2 linked regions of the Cricetulus griseus genome follow. The protein of the gene in region 1 purifies or fractionates together with the protein of each later gene. This does not show direct contact. Links are inferred from orthologs where the notes say so. Each region holds a gene or a part of one and is shown in the gene's direction. Other genes may lie near its edges.

Region 1 (3,511 bases):
TGGGTGTGCCTGTGGTCAGCGGACTGGGTGCCTGGCACTGTAGCTGACTCATCCTCTCCCAGGGACCAGCCCAGGCCTGGCAGCAAAGAGGCAGAACCAGCAGGGTGTCCTCAGCCACAGTGCTTGGGCCCAGGCTGAGCCTGGCAGGGTCATCTGAGCCTTGTCTTCTCTCCATGGCTCAGAAAGGCCCTATCATCTGACTCTGTATGGCTTCTCATGACTCAGGCCAGCTGGAAGCCAGTAGAAACTGGCTCTGAAGCAGCTCTGCTTCTTGGGTCCTAGTCCCCAGACAGCCCACCCTAGGCCCTCCTGTGCTCCACTGAGCTCTGTGGCTGTTTCTCACAGGTTGTGTCCCTACTAGATGTCCCCATAATTTCACCCCTGCTCCCATCCTGCCCCCATCCCCAGCCTGCAAGGGGAAGGGCGCTTGCCCTAATTCACATGCGGGCACCTTAGCTGCTACTGCCTACACGTCCAAAGTTCTTGGCCATTGACCCCAAGTTCTAATACCAAAGACTGGCAGGTATCCACTGAATGAAGAAAAATAAAGGAGGAGGCTTGAGTGCTCCCAGGTGTGGAGGAGGAGATTTATTGTAGATATGAGGGAGAGCACAGCAGGAGGCAGGTCTCCAGGAGTCCAGAGTGGACATGACTGGGCCTTGTGAGGAGAGTGGGGAAGGGAAAGCTAGGAGACCAATCAGCCAGAAGGGTAAACGGTAAAAAAGGTAAAAGGAGCAGCTCAGCCAAAATGGCTGGATTATATAGGGGGAAGGCAGGTAGAGGACAGGGATGCCAGCCAGGTAGGGACCAAGGGAGGCTGGGAGAGCCCAGCAGCCAGGTCAGCTTTGATATGGTAAATAGGCTCCTCAGCCATTTGTCTGGGGTTTGAGACCTAACATCCACCTTGCTTACTTGGCTCCCAGAGCAAGACCAGACTTCTAGGCAGACTGCCAGGACCTGTCTGGGACCACAGGTGGTTCTTGTGAGTTCAGCATACCCTCAGCCTATCAGAAGCTGTCCAGGTCCTGGGTCTGCCTGCCACCTGGGGGCAGCGGTGGGACAGCTCCCCCAACCCTCCTGTCTGCCCCCTCTCCCTTCCTCATGGTATGGACACTGATCTTGGAGCCAAGACCTAGGCGGGACTGTAAATAGCAGAAAGAGCACTCAGTCCCTGGGAAGCTCACAGGGGATAGAGCAGCCTGGTGGGTGCACAGCCATGTCAGCTGGCACTAAGGGCCAGGGGGAAACGGGAAAGAGCCAGAGACCTTGTGGAGGGGAACAGGGCAGCCATGGAGACATTTGGAAGATGTAGGTTGTGGGCAGGGCAAAGAGCTGATGAGCACATGTCTGGTGTATTGGGGAAACAGTGAAGAAGCCTGTGTGCCTGGGGCTCAGGACATAGAGGAACTGTGGAGACCACAACTGAGTGGGGCCAGGGAGGTGTGAGCCTGGTGGTTCAGGATGTATATGCCACACGGCTCCTAGGCCTTGACTTTAGGCTGTGGGCTTTCTCCCCTGCACCCCGTCCTCTGCCCTAGAGGATCAGAGTGCATGGTTTGGGGGTTAATGACGCTGGCAGCCTGCAAGGGAGGAAGTGCCGAGCCAAGTGGCCTGTAATTTGCAGCTCTCGGGGGTTGATTATAGGCTGTGTTTACCTCCCTCACCCCAGTCCACAGGGCAGAACTTGCTGCCAGACTGGGAGCCAAGGAAACTCAAGAGGCACTTGGGGAGCCCCCAGAGTGGTGATGGGCAAGAGAGGAGTTCTTGGGGCACTTTAGGGTCCCCTGTCACTCCTCCTCATCATCACCACACCAGTACTTTACTGTCTCTGTCTTGTTTTCGTGTTGTATTGTCTTGTTTCTGTGTCCCCTCCTTCCTGGCCTTATCCTGCCATTGCCTGGACCCCAGACCATCGTGCGGGGCAGCAAAGGTGTCAAGGATGGGGCCCTCACGCTGCTGCTGGACGAGTTTGAGAACATGTCGGTCACGCGCTCCAACTCCCTGCGCAGAGACAGCCCTCCACCACCTGCCCGTGCCCACCAGGAGAACGGAATGCTGGAGGAGCGGGCAGCCCTGGCCAGAACGGCCCCTGACAAGACTGGAGGCAAAGGCCGGGCCACAGGCCACAGCGAGGCAGGCGGTGGTGACAGACGGCGGGTGGGGCCCGAGAAGAGGCCCAAGGCTTCCAGGGAGGGCCCTGGAGGGCCCCAGGAGGCCTCCCGAGATAAGCGCCCCCTCTCTGGGCCTGATGTTAGCACTCCCCAGCCTGCCAATCTGGCCAGTGGGGCAAAACTAGCAGCTGGCAGACCCTTTAACACATACCCACGGGCTGACTCGGACCACCCACCCCGAGGTGCCCAGGTAACCCATCCCCCACTTCAGCACCTCAGTGTCCCCTTCCCTTGCTTCCCTTTCCCCAGCCACACCCCATCTCACCCTGACTTCCCTTGTATGTCATCCGGCTGGGGAGAGTCAAAGCACCCTCCACGCTCATGATGCCTTTCTTCTGTTGCAGGGGGAGCCACACAGTGTGGCCCCTAATGGGCCATCAGCCACGGGCCTGGCTGCCCCTCAGTCTTCATCTTCCTCCCGGCCTCCCACCCGAGCCCATGGTGCTCCCAGCCCAGGAGTGCTGGGCCCCCACGCCTCTGAGCCCCAGCTGGCCCCCCCAGCACGTGCTCTTGTGGCACCCCCTGTCCCTGGGCCCCCTGGGCCTCGCTCACCACAGCGGGAGCCCCAGAGAGTGTCCCACGAGCAGTTCCGGGCTGCTCTGCAGCTGGTAGTAGACCCAGGGGACCCCCGTTCCTATCTAGATAACTTCATCAAGATTGGCGAGGGCTCTACTGGTATCGTGTGCATAGCCACTGTGCGCAGCTCAGGCAAACTGGTGGCCGTCAAGAAGATGGACCTGCGCAAACAGCAAAGACGGGAGCTGCTCTTCAACGAGGTAGGTACAGGCCAGGAAGCTCAGCACGGTCCTCTCCTCACAGCTGTCCCCAGCCTAAGGCTCCTGCCTGGCCTGTCCTACCAAGCGCCCATGACCCAGGCTGACATTTTCCAACTAGTTCTGGGCCTGTGTGCTCCCCTCCAGACCTCTTCTTCTCTCAGGGTCCCTGTCTCTGGGAAACTGTCGTGCCTTACTCTGGAGCACAGCCAGTGCCCATTCCCCCAGTCCCACTGCTGTGTGTCCTCTGTGGCCCTGGGGCTCTGCTCCAGCCTCTCTCAGGCCCCCGGACTCTGTACGTATTCAAGGGAAGGGCCTTTGGCACTGAAGTCTTTCCGTGTCTCTCAGTGTCTGTCTCCACAGCCTAAGGACTTGTGTGGCACTGAAGTCTTTACGTGTCTCTCAGTGTCTGTCTCCACAGCCTAAGGCAGCGTCCAGGGGTCCAGCCTGCCACTGTTGTTCTTTCACTCTGTGGCTCTTTTACTCCTTGTTATTTTGGGGGGGCCCCCTACCAGCTCCCAAATAAAATCCACTTATCACTTAAGAATGCCCGGCCTTAGCTTGGCT
Region 2 (4,045 bases), on another chromosome or scaffold:
AACATGATGTCCATTGCAAGAGAAGCAATTCCGATTGAGGGTTATTTGTTTCTAGCTAATTAATGTCAATTTGTCCTTACTCGACCTCTGGTGCACCTTGAACTCCAAACTAGGCATGCCACTTTCTTTTCCGCTTTAGTCAGGATTTCCCTATATAGCCTGGATTGGCTTCAAGTTGCTGATCTTATTCCAACTTGCTTCAACCTCAGCCACTATAGTGCTGGTATGGAGGGGTGGGATATAACCACGCATGCCCAGGAAAACCAGACACAGACACAGACACAGACACACACACACACCACACATCCGTCTGTCCTTCCTTCCTTCCTTCCTTCCTTCCTTCCTTCCTTCCTTCCTTCCTTCCTTCCTTCCTTCCTTCCTTCCGATGGAGGTCTCACAATGCAGCCCTGGCTGACCTGAAATTCGCTTTGTAGAGCAGGCTGGTCCCAATCTCAGAGATCCTCCTGACTCCTTAATGCTGAGATTAAAGGTATGCACCACCACACACACAAAAAAAACCAGAGACTTTTGTTTCTTTTTTGATTTTTAGAAGCAAGGTTTCTCTGTGTAACCTTGGCTGTCCTGGAACTGTGCAGACCAGGCTGGCTTCGAGAACTCATAGAGATCTGCCTTCCAATGCCTCCGGAGTGGTGGGGTTGAAGGAGTGTGGCACCAACACCACGTTAAAACCAGGGCCTTTAAACAAAAGTCCTATCTGTGATGGGCCAAAGCGATAAAATACGGCTGAAGGGAAGAAAAACATGATTACGGTGTGTGAACAAGAAAAAAGTTGGCGCGTAAAAACTGGAGCCCTCCCTTGTTCACCTGTCAGTTCTTTACACAGAGGTTAAAAGGCTCTGAAAAAGGCACATGAATGAGAAAAACGTGCAGGAATGCACAGTGAGTGGGTCTCAGTGAGGAAGGCCTGCAGTTGCAAGAACCCATCAAGCCTCTCGCTCGCTCGGTCTTTCCGCAGGCAGGCCTGTCCTCGGCCGGCGGCCACCGAACAGGATCCTGGCTCATTCCTTTAGCCCAGTCTCGGCCTCCAGCCTCTCCCGCTCGCCTGGGCCGTTCTTCTTCGCAGTCGCAGTTCCCGCCTTACTGCTGAGCCGACGGAGGAGGGGCGTCAGTCGTGCTGGTTCCAGCCTTTTCTGGCGCCGAACTCCCGGACCCGCCCCCCCGCGCCAGTTGCCAGGGAGCGGTTGCCATAGAGCTGAGCAGTTGTCCGCGTGCGCAGGCGGAAGTCCCGGATTGAAGCGCCGCCATTTTTACTGCTCGGACGCGGAGCGAGAAGCCGAGAGTCGGAGACGCTATCCGCTTCCATCCGTCGCGCAGACCCTGCCGGAGCCGCTGCCGCTATGGATGATCGGGAGGATCTGGTGTACCAGGCGAAGCTGGCAGAGCAGGCCGAGCGATACGACGGTGAGTTGGAGGGGTGTCGGGGGGCTGGAAGTCTCGGACCCTCCGCCGCCGCCCACAGAGGCCGGGAACCGGAGACAAAATGGCGGCATCGTCCCCGAGTCTGGCTCGGGACGCGGGTCGGGAAGCGGGAAATGTCCTGCGGGCTCCCGAAGCGGTGGGAGTCTCCGGGCCCAGGAATTTGACCCCTCCGGTGTCCTTAGCTTGCAGACGCTCGCCCGCCAGCAGGCCGGGGAGTAGGGTGGAGGAGTTGGTTGTAAAATGGCGGCTGAAGGGGGAGGGCGAGTCCCCGGGCGGGGGAGGGGGGAGGAGGTGGCGGGTGCCGTCTCCCGGCGCGCAATCCCCACGGGAGCTTTCGGGACCGTGGCGGGATGCGGAGGACAATCGGGTGGGGTGATGTGCGAAGCAGCAGCGGTCGCTCGGGGGAGGGCGGAATCTTAGGGAGCTGGAGCGCGGGCGCCTTTTCAGGGAAATATGGCGGGTGGGGGCGGTGGCTTTTCCCGGGAGGCCCAGTGTGGGGCGGCGGCTGTGGAGCCTCACAAAGGAGAAGCCTCAGGAGCGGACGGCTTCTCTGGGCCGCTGGTGGGGAGTCGTCTTTGGAGAGGGTGGAGTGTGTGGAAATCACTGCAGATTGATCATCCTTGGGTGGAGGCAAGCTGAGATGCTGCGATTGGATTCCTTCCCGCAGGCCGGCGCACCTCGGAGTTGAGGGTTTTGGGGGGCTTCTCTGCCTCGCCTCCTCCCATGGATGTGTGGAGCCTCACTCGTGCTCCGTTTGTTCTCACCCAGGGGATCCCAAAGTTCCTGTGGGTTTTTCTTTTTTCTTTTCCCAACCTTCAGAAGCCCGAGTTCTGATGGATAGAATTCTTAAATACAGGAGACCAGGCTTGCCAGGACCCTGTAATAATGATGGCTTTTTACAGTACCCGTGTCTCAAGTCTACCCGTTTGTAAAAATGACTTTTCTCTTCGCACTCAGCATTATGACACATGGAAAGACCTGTTGAAAAATAGTTAATTTAAATAATGTTTAGTAACACTCCCTTGGTTGACGACGTAAGTTTGGAAAATTCGTGTTGCTTGGCTTGGGGATCTTTACCTATTTTGAGGACTCGGTTGAGGCTTGGGGATTTTGAAATACAATTCTTTTTTTTTCCCCCTGTTTTATGACTTCATTGTTGCGTGGCTGGGGTTCCAACCCAGGGTTGCATGCATGCAAAGCAAGTGCTCATATACTAAGATACACTCTACCTCTGTTTTATCTATTTTAAGCAAATGGTTTTATGTACATATTTTAATAGTTATTTTGTTCACTCGACACCCACTACTTCCTCACCCCCGTGATGTAACCCAAGCCCTTGTACAGTGCTCTCTGTCACTAAGCTCTATCCTTAGCTCGTGCTAATTTGAATTTAGTCTTATCACCATTTCATTGAAATATCTTTTGTGTTTAGTCAGTTGTAGGCAATTTATGTTTTTTTTTGTGCCTTCCCTTTCTCTGATTTTGTACCTAGATACTTCAGTTAAGCAATATCTATCAAAGTAGTATTTTAAAAGTGATAAATCACATATATGTTTACCATGATTTATTTATGTTTGTTTAGGAATAGGGTCTCACTCTGTCGCTCTGGCTTTCTTGAAACCTTAGTATGTAGACCAGGCTGGCCTCTAACTCACAGAGATCCACCTATCAGTCTCCTGAGTGCTTTGATTAAAGGCATGTGCACTAAGGCAGATAGGTCCTTGTGATTTTAGTGTTGGGGGCTAGGATGGGATGCATGTTTGGAATTAAGTGTTATTGCCCCTAATTTTTTCCAAATTACTTAAGCCACTTGTTTTTCAAAAGTTAGGTCAGACCCTTTTCCTTGAATTCCAGTTTGGCTCTGTTGCAGCTTTTCTAGAACTAGTCCTAGAGTCTTGTCAGAAATTACTGTTCCAGCCTTTGGAATTTAGAACAGAAGGCTTCAAAACCCCCAGTTTAGGAAAGATACTAAACTGAATTTTGCCTTTCAGGTTTGAGTTGCTGTTGGCTTCTGTTGGGAGTGGGAGGAGGTGGGATGGGGAAAGTATGAATGTAGCTCAAGGTCAGCCTTCATTTTAGTGTTTGTAGCCAGGAGAGTTTGGTTGTAATGGAGGGTTCTCTCTCTGCCTCCCTGAAAGAAGTGTCCCCTGAATCTAGTGTCCTTGGGAGGAAACATGAAATTACATTTGAAGACTGGGGATTTAGGCTTAGTGTGAATGTGACCCCTCCTCCCAATAGAAAGGTATTAGGGAATCTTTTTGCTTTGTTTCTGAGTCATTTTTAGGAAGGATTTGGAAACTTGCATGATTGTAGCTTCCAAATAAATGGCAAGTTAACTTTAAATCATGCTTGTGATTTGAGTGCTGAGGGTTTCTGACTAAAGTCTGGCCTTGTTAGTTATTGAACATAGGAGTGTAGACAAGCCACTTGGTGACTGTCCCTTTGAGACTCTTAAAGAAAGAAGGGAATGCAATAGGAAGCACTGCAGTGATTTGGCATGAGGAGGGATCTAGAGCGGGAGAGGCAGGAAGGCAGTCAGGAAACCCACCACTACTTGACTGACTGCAGTGATTCAGCTTTGTTTGTGTAATAGAAATGGCTCTAT

Evidence for each region.
Region 2: the proteins of Pak4 (region 1) and 14-3-3 protein epsilon purify together in Homo sapiens (affinity purification with mass spectrometry; 4 studies listed by BioGRID and IntAct, with this or other methods). This does not show direct contact. The link is inferred for Cricetulus griseus from reciprocal best matches to the Homo sapiens genes PAK4 and YWHAE.

Annotation. Positions count from the first base shown.
Region 1 is NC_048602.1:7,276,960-7,280,470, forward strand, and holds part of Pak4 (serine/threonine-protein kinase PAK 4), read left to right. Parts: intron 1-1,908; coding exon 1,909-2,361; intron 2,362-2,515; coding exon 2,516-2,947; intron 2,948-3,511. UniProt on the Homo sapiens protein: Serine/threonine-protein kinase that plays a role in a variety of different signaling pathways including cytoskeleton regulation, cell adhesion turnover, cell migration, growth, proliferation or cell survival.
Region 2 is NC_048600.1:89,184,184-89,188,228, forward strand, and holds the start of 14-3-3 protein epsilon, read left to right. Parts: upstream 1-1,244; 5' UTR 1,245-1,358; coding exon 1,359-1,422; intron 1,423-4,045. UniProt on the Homo sapiens protein: Adapter protein implicated in the regulation of a large spectrum of both general and specialized signaling pathways. Binds to a large number of partners, usually by recognition of a phosphoserine or phosphothreonine motif.